2 linked regions of the Canis lupus familiaris genome follow. The protein of the gene in region 1 binds, or shares a complex with, the protein of each later gene. Links are inferred from orthologs where the notes say so. Each region holds a gene or a part of one and is shown on either strand. Other genes may lie near its edges.

Region 1 (5,983 bases):
ATCCTGGGACCCCAGAATCATGACCTGAGCTGAAAGCAGACACTTAACTGACTGAGGCACTCAGGTGCCCCAAAATATTTTTTTTAATTACTTTTTTTTTTTTTAAGAGAGAGAGAGAATGTGTGTGCGTGTGGGGGTTGGGGGGTGATGGCAGGCAGAAGGGGAGAGAGAATCTTAACCAGGCTCCATACCCAACAGAGAGCCTGACTCAGAGTTTGACCTGGGGCTCATCTCATGATCCTGAGATCATGACCTGAGCCAAAGCCAAAAGTTGGGACACTCAACTGAGTGAACCACCCAGGGAACACTAAGAGTTTATTCTTAAATTTCTTCTTTCGTTATTTTTGTTTCTTTAAAAAAAATCTGTTATTTTTTCTTGACCTCTGATGACTTTGATAATATAATATCTATTATATTATGATATCTATTATTATAATAGTATAATAACATAATAATAATATAATAATCTATTTTACATATTATTTGTTTCACTTATTTTAAACTCCAAGATGAAGTAACTTCTGACTACACTTTAGGTAAAAGTACTAGTTATAGGACTTTCTCTGCAAGCTAGGAAACCTTTGCTCAACGTTTGAGAACAATGTTTCTGTTATTTCACATTATCATATGTACATTATCTAATATAAATCTTCAGTAATTATTTTTGGCAAAAATAATAAAGAAAGTTCTATATGTTTAACTGGTCTCAAAAGACTCTGCAAATGTATTTTCAGATCATAATTTCTCTATTCTTAAATTCTTAATTTTGATTCCTCTTTCTGGAAATGATACTACATATTCAAATAATACACCTTCAATCGTATTCTTAACTCCTGTAGTAATTCTCTGTTAATTTCCATGTTCACTACTGACCTCACAAACAAATGACACTTAGGTGGCCAGATTTCTTGTGACACAATTTTTTCCCTCAATATTATGTAGATATTGCTTTATCTAGATTTAGGGTTTCCTAAGAGAAGCCAGAAATGTACCAGGTGTTTCTTTTTCTGTTGAGATACTTGCAAAATTAATTTTTCTCTTGAAATTAAAAAATTCTAAATATAGTTTTCATCTCATAAATTTTACCTAAAATGCAAGATAGACTCATCTCTTCCTACATCCTAATCATGCTCCTTCTACTGTTTCTGCTCCATTAACACCATATGGAAATGTAGGTCAAGTATTTCTTTCTATATGTCCTCATTACTTATTTCAGTTTAATTTTTAGCCATTTTTTCTCATGAAGAATGCCTCAAATTTATCTTCCTTACCACTAATTAGATTTTTCCATGGAACCAATTCTACTATTTTAGGCCTAAGATATAGTTTTTAAAAAGCAACTAAAGGCAGAATATGGAGAGACTGTGGTTTTAAATCCCACTCTATTTCTGGTTATATGGCTCTGGCAAACCTACATCTTTGTTAAGTGGTTTTTCTGTTCTGATGGTTATAAAACCTCTCATGCAAAATAAGAGCCCCAAAACCTACATTTCATGATTAACATGAGAATCAGAAATAGCACTTGGGAAACTCTTATCAGAGTGCCTAACAGATTGCTGAAAAACAATAAGGTGGATCTGCCATTATTATGAGTTCTGTTATTACAGCCTTTTCCTTGCTTCCTTTTCTTATTTCAGCCTGGTTCTCTTCCAGTCTCAGCCTGTCTGTACGTGTTTTTGTTCTGAAAAGGTCCCATCTCTCCATACGTTATTCAAAGAGGTCCTACTGGGTTGTGGTTAAGAGAGTGAGTTCTGTAGTCAAACTGTTAAGAGTTTGAATTCTAGTTCTGCCACTAACTATGCAAATTTAGGCAAGTTATTCAACCTCTTTGTGATCCAGTTTCCTCAACTATAAATGGAGATAAAACCTCATCATTTTGTTGTTTGTATTAAAAATTAGTGTATATACAATGTTTAGAAATTCTTGAAAGATAGAAAGCACTGTTATCTAGTAAATAAAAACAGGTATTCCTCCTCAAATTTTTAAAGTAAATCATTTAAAAAATATTTTGTGTTTCTCCAAGTCCTCCAGGAACATTCCCTTCTTTTCAGCTGAAAAATCTCTTCCTCAATAATTTTTCCTAGGATACTTATCCCTGAATTAAAAAAAAAAAAAAAAGTTTGCATGGCCTGCTATGTACCTAAAAAGTCTGGGTAGATTATGTCGAGTCACCTCACACTTGTGTACTCTGAACATCTAAAATGGACAATAGGTAAATGGCTGGCTCTCCTGCCCAGTTTTTGGTTATCCATTTAATTGAGCATTCCTGGCCTAAACTCACAAAGCCCAGTGCTAACAGTAAGAGAAAATATGAGGTTCTACTTTGAGTCCATAAAAATATCCTCAACTGTTTCCAGGGTTCTTTCTGATTTTGTCTAATGTATACCACCTTACCAAAAGGGAGGGCAGAAACTAATATGCAATGTTTCATCCACCATCTGCCACCATACTCACACTGATACCACCAAAAGAAGCACATTCTATAAAAGGGCAGCATCTACTATGGGAAACCTAATCTGCTCCATTCCGTCTGTAGTTCTAAATTGGTATGCCATAGTAAACAGCTGTACTGTGACCTTCTCACGTGTGTGCAGCTGGATTCTGGCCAATGTTAGTACTTATTTTTGCCTCGCTTAGAATATGTACTATCATGTTGATGGCTGCCAGGAAGAATATTAGAAGAGGTCACATGGCAAAATTCAGAACAGTGTAAAATTTGTTACAAGTAAAATATAAGTTATAAATAAGTCATAAAACTCTTGCCAAAGAAATACCATGCACTAATTACCAGAGCATGCATGAAATTATTTGTGCCTGTTGTGTGTGTGTGTGTATAACAGATTATGGTCAAAGGAGTACAAGTTTCAAGTAATACAGTGAAACAGGTGTGAAAAGTACATTGTGGATACCATTACATACTTTCTATAATACTCTGGAATCAGGATGTAGTCAATTGCTGATTTGTTTAGTACTGCTCTGAGTTCTGCATTTTTAAATCTTCAAGTGTGCTGCCAAAAAGTCTATCATTTGAAAGTGTGTCTCAAGTATAAAAGGATAATTATTGCCTTAAGATTTCACTGATTTCTCCTGGTTCTGCTGAGTAGACTCAGATGAGTAAGTCTAAATAAAGATAAGCCACTGAATATCTTAAGATATTATTCCCTAAATTCATCACAATTCTGGGTTGAAAATCTTAATTTTCTTTAAAAATGAGTAACATGTTGGCCTAGTTGAGTTTGCCCATTCTCTCACCACTCTCATCAGTTTGTATATGTTATTCCTGTAGGATCACCACTGAAAACTGAACTCAGTGCCCTAAGAGTCATGTGGATTCTAACATAAGCTTTATTTTACCATGTGTTATCGACCATGAGATAGATTTATCAATTTCCAAAGTTCCTCAGAGGTTTAATATAAAAGTCATAATTTCATGCAGATATGTAAGTCATCATTATCAAATGATCAACTACTCACTGCAATTTTTTCTCCAGATTTGCCGATTTTTTTCTTCAGTTTTTTTCTTTCCTGAATGAGATCATGGTGGGTCTTAAGCAATTCTTCAAAGCGAACTCTGGTTTTTACTTTGGCTTCACTCTCCACTGCAAAGATAAAGACTCATCATTTGCTAAACAACTCTATTATAGTATATACCTGCATAATTATCATGTTAAAGAACACAGTCTTATACATACCTGCATGAGTTCTTTAGCTACCTTAGAACTGACCAATCCTTCCATCTTTTTAAATTTTTTTTTTAAAGATTTTATTTATTTATTCATGAGAGACACTGGGGGGGGGGGGGGGGGGCGGCGGGCAAAGGGAGAAGCAGGCTCCCTGCAAGGAGCCCAGTGTGGGACTCCATCCAGGATCCCAGCCAGGATCTTGCCCTGAGCCAAAGGCAGACACTCAACCGCTGAGCCACCCAGGAATCCCCTCGGGCTTTCCTTCTTAAAAAATGTTTCTTTTGGTTTTGGTGACACCACACTCACCTGTATCCCTCTTACTGGGCCATTCTCTCTAAAAGTTTCTATTACTAACTTTCTACTTGTGATGTATGGAGGCATCTACTACTGTTATGTGGCCTTACCCAATTTACTTAACTCTAAACTTCATCTTCGTTATCTGTAAAATCAGAATAATCCTATGTTAAAGATCATTTGTGTGAAGAATAGCTAACATTACCTAGTCAATAATCAGTATTTAAAAAATAAGAAAAGCTGAAAAGTTATTTTTTCTTTTAAAACTTAAGTCAGATCATGTTATTTCCTTGCTCAAGACCTTGTGAGTTTCTCATTTCACTTAGAACTAAATGAGTCCTTCATATGCCTTACAGGGTTCTCACTTCCTGGCCTGCCTACCTCCACAGCTTGAAATCAAGAGAAACAGCCCCTTAGATCCCTATATTCGGGCCATACTGCCCTTCTCACTCCTTCACCAGAATAAGCACCCTCCCATGTGAAACTGCTTCTACTTGATGCAAACTTCCTTTAAACTTCTCAGCTACCTGGTGTTAAGCTGCCTGTTCAAATATTGCCTCTAAAGTGGAACATTTCCTCACAACCTCATCTAAATCTCCCCATGCCTCAGACAGCAGTTTTTTCTTTACAGCACCTAATCCAACTTGAAACTGTAGAATTATTTGTGTATCTATACAAATATATTGTCTCTGTCTCTCCCACTGTACTAGCTATCATCCCTACTACTATCATGAGATCTAGCACAGAGTACCTACTCAATAAATGGTGAATGAATGGGTGATTGCCCCAGAGCTGGTGTTGGCAAATACGGCCTGCAGGGCAGTCACCTTCTTTTATAATGAAAGTTTACTGAAATACAGCCATATCCACCCTTAAGAATTCTTATCGATGTTTCCATGCTTCAATGGCAGAGATGAGCAGTTACGGCAGAGAATAAAACTAAAATATTTACTAGATTTCCTTTTAGGAAAGTTTGCCGATACCTGCTCTAGAGTAAAACATCCATTTTGATGATAAAGAATACAAACTAGCCATATGTTGTAATGATTATTTCCCTTATCCAGTGGAGTCCTAAACTGCTATCCATTAAATACCTACTAACCTTAATACTAATATCTAACATTTAATAGAAAATTGATAAAAAAAATAAATAGAAAACTGACAATATCTGAATGTAATATTTGGTTAATATATTCATGAAGAGGTCAAAGAACTTTGAAATAATTCAAAGTTTAAAATAAATAAATAAACAAATAAAATGTATTGCATATATAAATTTCATAAAAGTCTTACCAGTGGGCATATCTCAGCTTTATGGAGAGCATTGAATTGTAATGTAAAGCACTGCCTCAATCAGGATCCTACTAATACAAAGAGAATTTATTTGTAGCATGGAATTTACAAATAAAAATTATATAACATTCTTCACACAAGATTATGTGATGATTCATCTACTACATAAGTTTATACCAATAAAGTTCTCTTAACCCAGTCTTATGCAAATGAATTAAATGTATTTGAATCAGTTTAGAACTGAAAAAAGGTAAAGAAACCTGGATCATATTTGAATAAGATATTTACATATTTGAAACAAAAACTTTTTAAAAACCTTGAAAGGCAATAAATATGTACTTGGTATGTTAATGCCGTTTTACAAGTGTTTTAAGTAAAGATTATACATTACAATGTACTTTTAAGAAAACAAACTCCACCCCAAAATTGACTTTTCCAAGAACATATGCTATTATATTAATAAAATATGCTTGTAGGTAGCATACTCACAGATAATAAATTTAAACATTTTTGTACCTGCCATTAAAAGTTTTGCAACAACAGAAAAGGTTAAAAGTACAAGCATTTGTACCATCTTCCTCAAATAAATATCTGGGTGTGTATTATTATATACCAAACCCAGGGATAAATTCAGGATATATACTCTTTAATTTCTAATCTTACTTAGTGATGAGGGTGCGTATCCAAAACAAACATATTAACTTCCACATTAG
Region 2 (5,983 bases), on another chromosome or scaffold:
CATACCCCTTCGTCTTCCAGTTCAGAAACTGTTGAGAGGTAGACACCGAGCTCAGGGGGTTCCAAACATGACTTTGTTCCTGGTAAAGCTGGAGCAGAGAAGGTGGAGCAGCCACCTTCAGGCTCCTGATCAAAGCTGCGGTCGCTCACACACCCTGTCCTGGGAACTTGCACTTGGCAGCAAAGAGGAACGTGTGGGCGGCACAGACCCCTGAGGGCCAGCCTGGAAGTATCTGGGCGGTAGGTCCTCTGTCCCTCTCCTAGCCCATGAGGAGGACTCTGGGAAGTCAAGAGGCCGAATAGAAGCTCTGCTTGCAAGACCGGCCTCAGAGCAATCTGTCTCCACAGACAGCCAGGCCAGAGTCCCAGTTTCGTGGGGCGAGGTAGACAATAAGTACTGATGTTCTAATATGTTCTAGGAAAAAGTGCCGGGGACAGAGTAAAGTCAGGAAGGGAGGAATGGAGGGTAGAGAGAAGCTGGAGTCTAGGTAAGGTGGCCAGGGAAGGCCTCCCTGAGATGGTAACTTTGGGTAAAGGGTGAAGGCAGGAAGGGAACAAGCCACACGGAGGTCCGTAGGGAGAACTGTGCAGGCAGAAAGGGCAGAGGTAAAAAACAACAACAACAACAACAACAAGAAAGGGCAGAGGTGCACAGGCCCTGAGGTGGGAACGTGCCTGGCGTGCCCAGCATGCCCAAGGCACAGGGAGGAGGCCTGTGTAGCCAGTGAAGAGCATGAGCAGGGATGAGAGTGGCTGGAGATGGAGCAGGGGGGTTGAGGATGGGACAGGCCTTGTAGGACACAGTGAGTCAGTAAAAGAACCACGGCCTCACTCAGACATGGGACCCCCTCAGAGAGTCTGGGACAGAGACAAAGTGACCCCCCTTGTGTGTTCCATAGCATCCTGGCTTCTGTGTTCAGAGTAGATGGGAAGCAAGGGCCAAAGCAGAGAGACCAAGGATTGATACCAGAAACAGAGGAGTGAAGACAGTGTGCAGACAAGGCGCAGCCATGGGTGGGGTGGGGGTGACAGGCAGTTGAATTTCCAGTATATTTTGAAGATGGAAACAACAGGGTTCCCTCCTGGACAGATGTGGGGTGTGAGAGAAAAGAGTTCAGAATAACACCAAGCTTTTTAGCCTGGGCACTTGGGATCGGAGCTGCCATTCGGTGAGAAGACTGGGTAGAGCAGTTATGGGAGAACTTTCCAGAGCTCAGCCTGGCATGTGTTGAGGTTGAGGTTTCCCCCCAGATACCCGGGGGGAGGTGCAGGGTCAGCAGTGGAGGTGGGGCCATGCTGCCCTGGAGGCCCGAGATGGGGACCAGACTGGGGATGCAGGTTTGGGAATCAGCCCCACGACGCTTCCACATGAAGGAGGAAGTGGTGACAGCAACATTGAGAGCCCCCACCCTCACCGCTGTGAGGAGGAAAGACCCAAAGTCAGACATATGGTGTCCCAGAATCCACCCAGGGGGAGTGCGTCAGAAAGCCACCAGCTGTGTCCAGTGCTGCTGTAGAGTCAGGTAAACTGAGGACAGAGAACTGTCCACAGAGAGAGCAACGTTGGGGTCACTGGTGCTGCTGGAGCCAGTGAGTATGGACGGCTTGATCAAGGAGTTTGCTCAGCAGGGGAGCTCCAACTGGGTTGGCGGGTGGAGGAAGAAGCCAAGTTGGCACAGTTTCTTGATAGAATCATAGGCACACAGGCTCCGATGTGAAGGGCTGGGGCTGGAAGAGGGAACAACCTGCCAGGGCCAGTTCCTCAGCTGAGGGGACGCCCAGTGAACTCGCGCCCAGGCAGCTCTCCAGGTTGTCTGGCTCCAAATAAAAGCTGGAGACACCTAGGAGCTGCTCCATTAGCTCTGAGTCCCCGTCATGCGGAAGACAGTGTGTTGCCAGAAGACAGGGAGAAAACCAGCCCTCCCACCTGGCCACCAAGGTAAGGGCAGGGGTGTGGCAGCTGGAGCGTCAGCAGCAGATGTCACAGTCACTGTCCTCACAGGGTCTGGAGGAGGGCATCTCACAGATCACATCCAAGAGCCAAGATGTGCGGCGAGCGCTGGTGTGGAACTTCCCCATCGATGTCACCTTTAAAAGCACCAACCCTTATGGCTGTGAGTCTGCAGGGCCTGCCCCCACCTCCCCCACCACCCCAGCAGGGACCGGGTCGGGGAGGTGCCCCCAGGGCCAGCTGGGCCTTATCCTGCCGCCACTGTCCGCTCTCAGCTCTTCTCTGCCCAATTCCTGGGCCCTTGTGTACCAGCATCATCATGTGCTCTCTTGCCACCTGGCCATTTCCTTCCATGTGTCCCCCCCCCACCCCAGCTCATGGACTGGTGGTGGAGCTGACCTTTAGGAAGCTCAGGGGGTGTCAGGTGAGGCTCCAGCCTCTGTGCTGGGGGAAGGCAGAGCCTGGGTTTGGGATGTTGTAGTCCAGCCGGCAGGCCTGACCCTGGTGGCCCTCAACCTGCCATTACGTGTTGTGCTCCAGCCAAACCAAAGCCACGTGCACCTCCTGTGCACACCCCTGAGCCGCCTCTCTGAGCTTTGGTTTGTGCTGTTCCCTCTGCCATCTCTGACCTCCTCCCCAGAACCCTCCTTGCTTGCAGTGTTTACTGTGTGTCTTGCCTGGTAGTTATTCACTCTTACTTAATAAGCGCCTACTGCATGTAAAGGCCTGGGTTAGCTCCAGAGGGGCTGTGAATACTCACCCCATGTGCTCTTATCCTAGCTTCCTAATCCTATGTGGTGGATAGATTGCTCTTGGTTTCTTTTTCCACATCAGGAAACTGATGCAAAAAAAGTGACATCACTTGCCTTTGGCCATCTATCTAGTAGCTGAGCATGGATTGGATTTCAGGTCCATCTGATTTCATAGTCTGGACCTTTCTGCGGCATGTAGTTTGGGGCCTAGGCTTACTGGGCGTGGGGGGTCTGGAACGGGCTGCCTGGAGGTCCTCCTGGGCTGAGACTGCCATCTTGTCATTATCCACAAGTCAGAATGCTTCCGTAGGTTTCCTGGAGCAGGACTAGATTATGGCCCAGTCTCCTGCTGCTGAGGAAGCCTAGGAGAGGCGAATATAGTATTAAAAAGTAAAAACACAGGCACCTGGATGGCTCAGTCAGTTAAGCATTTGCCTCCAGCTCAGGTCACGATCTCAGGATTCTGGGATTGAGCCCCACATTGGGCTCTCTGCTCAGCGGTGAGTCTGTTGCTTCCTCCTCCCCACCCTCTGTGATCTCTCTGGCTCTCACTCTTTCTCAAATAAATAAATAAAATATTCAAAAATAAAAAGTGAAAACAAACACAACTATTTGAAGGCATCAGAGAGCCAGCAAAGTATTGGAGATTTACCCAGCCAAGATCTAGGAGAAAACAGAAATCTAGAGATGTGATCTCACTCACATTGCCCCTTGGAGAATTAGCTGACTCCACCAGAGGTGATCCAGAGGTTGATCGAGGCTTTTGACAGCTGCTCTGGGCTCGAGGCACAAGAATCAGGAAAATGGTTCAAGACCTCGAAGTGCTTGCTGCACCCTGGGAGGAAGGGAGAAGTGGGAGCAGCCCAGCTCTGGATCATTCCAGACCTTGGAACATGGTTGCAAAACCCCCCAAACTAAATAATCATAAGCCACATCTAGCAGGGTGTAAAAGGGATGGAACAAGAATGGTTTATTCCAGAGGTACAAAGCTTATATAATATCTGAAATCAACCAACGTGATTCAGTGCTTTAAAAGAAGGCAAGTCATAATCATCCCCATAATGAAGCAACCATGATAAAACTCAACATCTATCCATGATAAACACTTAGAAAACTAGGAATAGAGGAAACTTTTTTATTTTTTAACTCAGGGCCTTATCTCATGACCCCAAGATCAAGACCTAAGCTGAGATTAAGAGTTGGACCCCAACCAACTGAGCCACCCAAGCACTCGTAGAAAGAGACTTTCTTAATTGGATAAAGACTGTCTACAAAAAACTTAGAGCAAACATCACCTTTTCTAAGTGAAATGGTGAAAGATTTCCTTGTTGCCACCACCACAAACAAAAGCATAGGAATTAGGAAGAATAAAACTGTTGCTTTTCATAGGTGGCATTATGTGTGTCGAATTTGCAGAATAACCTACAGATAAGTTACTAGAAATAATAAATTGGCATGAATGCCCGATATGAAATAGTAAAAAACCAGTGGCTTTTTGTATAAAAATGAATAGGATATGTATTCTCTTGTCCATAAAAAGTGATTCAAAATGGTATTTTATTTTTAAGATTTCATTTATTTGAGAGAGAGCACGAGTAGGGTGAGGGGCAGAGGGAGAAGCAGGCTCCCTGCTGAGCAGGGACTGCCCCCAGGTGCCCCTAAAAGTGATATTTTAAAAAGAAATTCTTCACAATAATATCAAAATGTAACATGTACTACATATTGAACTTCAGATGAGTTATAAAGCAGAATAACGAAGACAATGTAGTTTAGGCCCAAGGATAGGCAAATGATCCAAAGAGAGCTCTGAGCCAGACCTAAGCCTGTGTAGACAGGTGATTCCTGAGAAAGGGCACTGGGAGGCATGAAGGGAAAGCGGATCCTGTTGATAAACGGTGCTGGGACCACGGGATATGCACAGGACGTGAAACCCTGTGCCCTGCTTTGTACCATACATCCACCAAAGTCAGTTCCAGGTGGATGGCAGGAAAACTTTAGGAAGAGAGCATAGAACACTAGAGCCATGATATCAAGTAAGGGATGACTTTTTTTTTTTTTTTTTGTTGAGAGAGCAGAAGAGCAGAGGGAGAGGGACAAGCAGAGTCAGTGCTAAGTGCAGAGCCAGATATGGGGCTCAATCCCAGGACCCTGAGATCATGACCTGAGCCAAAGGCAGACACTTAACTGACTGAGCCCACCCAGGCGCCCCCTGAGCCCTTTGGGAGACAGCTCCATGTTCTGTTTTCAGACCGAATGTATGCATACCCTGTGTGGATAGGCATGCCCAGCAGAAACGTGCACACATGGGGCAAGAGCTTCAGCAGAGTGGCAGAGAGCTCATAGTCTCACCATCCGGGGGCCCCCCAAGGAGAAACTACCCACATGTCCATCGGCACAGGAGTGAACCATGTCCTCGTGGTCTGTCCATAGCTAGCATGTTCTCTAGCACTGAAAAAAAAGTGACATCTCATACACAACACAATTCGAATGAATCTCCCAAACATTGAACTAAAGAAGCTGGATACCAGTACACAGACTGTATGATTCCATCTGTATAAAGTTTTTTTTTTTTTTTCAATAGGTAAAACCAGAGCACCTAGGTGGCTCATTAGCTTAAGTGTCTGCTGTCATGATCTCAGGGTCCTGAGACCAAGCCCCGCATTGGGCTCCACAATCAGTGTGGGGTCTGCTTGGGATTCTCTCCCTCTGCCCTTCCCCCTGCTAGCTCACTTGCTCTTTCTCACTCTCAAAATTAAATACATAAAATCTTTCCTTTAAAAAGGATAAAACCAAATCTGTGTTTGGGATGCATTCTTTGGCAGGGAAGCGTTAAAAGCAGTGCTTTCATCAAGTCAAAACAGTGGCTGCCTCTGGGGGAGGGGGAGTGATGGGAAGGACACACACCTGTTGTCCCTGACACTTGCTGAGCACCCCCTCTGCAGCAGTCGCTAATCTCCAAGTCTTAGGGGGGAGGGAACCAGGAGGCTAGGAGGGGAGGGGATTGCCTGAGGCATGTCCTAGACCGCAGGGTCAGCCTGGCAGGATGGCTTCCTGGGCCTCCCCCGCCTCACCTGTCACCTGGGAAGTGGTTTCTCCCCTATGCTCAGAGGACTGACCCAGAGGAAAGGACCTGATGTACCTCAGTGTTTACAGGGAACGCGTGTGATTGGTGTGATAACTTAAGGGAAAGTGCATGGGAGGTCTGTTTTCCCCTCTGACCTCTCCCACAGAACCCCGAAGTCAGCCGCTCTGGCCCACAAGCCCATGCAGTAGGCGCTGGA

Evidence for each region. Proteins that work in one complex are often made in the same cells at the same time.
Region 2: AHI1 (region 1) and B9D1 share a complex: the UniProt entries of both Homo sapiens proteins name them as parts of the tectonic-like complex. The link is inferred for Canis lupus familiaris from reciprocal best matches to the Homo sapiens genes AHI1 and B9D1.

What each region holds. Positions count from the first base shown.
Region 1 is NC_049222.1:28,421,142-28,427,124, forward strand, and holds part of AHI1 (jouberin), read right to left. Parts: 5' UTR 5,934-5,983; intron 5,342-5,933; exon of another isoform or gene 5,339-5,341; 5' UTR 5,281-5,338; coding exon 5,271-5,280; intron 3,600-5,270; coding exon 3,475-3,599; intron 1-3,474. UniProt on the Homo sapiens protein: Involved in vesicle trafficking and required for ciliogenesis, formation of primary non-motile cilium, and recruitment of RAB8A to the basal body of primary cilium.
Region 2 is NC_049226.1:41,070,934-41,076,916, forward strand, and holds part of B9D1 (B9 domain-containing protein 1), read left to right. Parts: intron 1-2,001; coding exon 2,002-2,113; intron 2,114-5,983. UniProt on the Homo sapiens protein: Component of the tectonic-like complex, a complex localized at the transition zone of primary cilia and acting as a barrier that prevents diffusion of transmembrane proteins between the cilia and plasma membranes.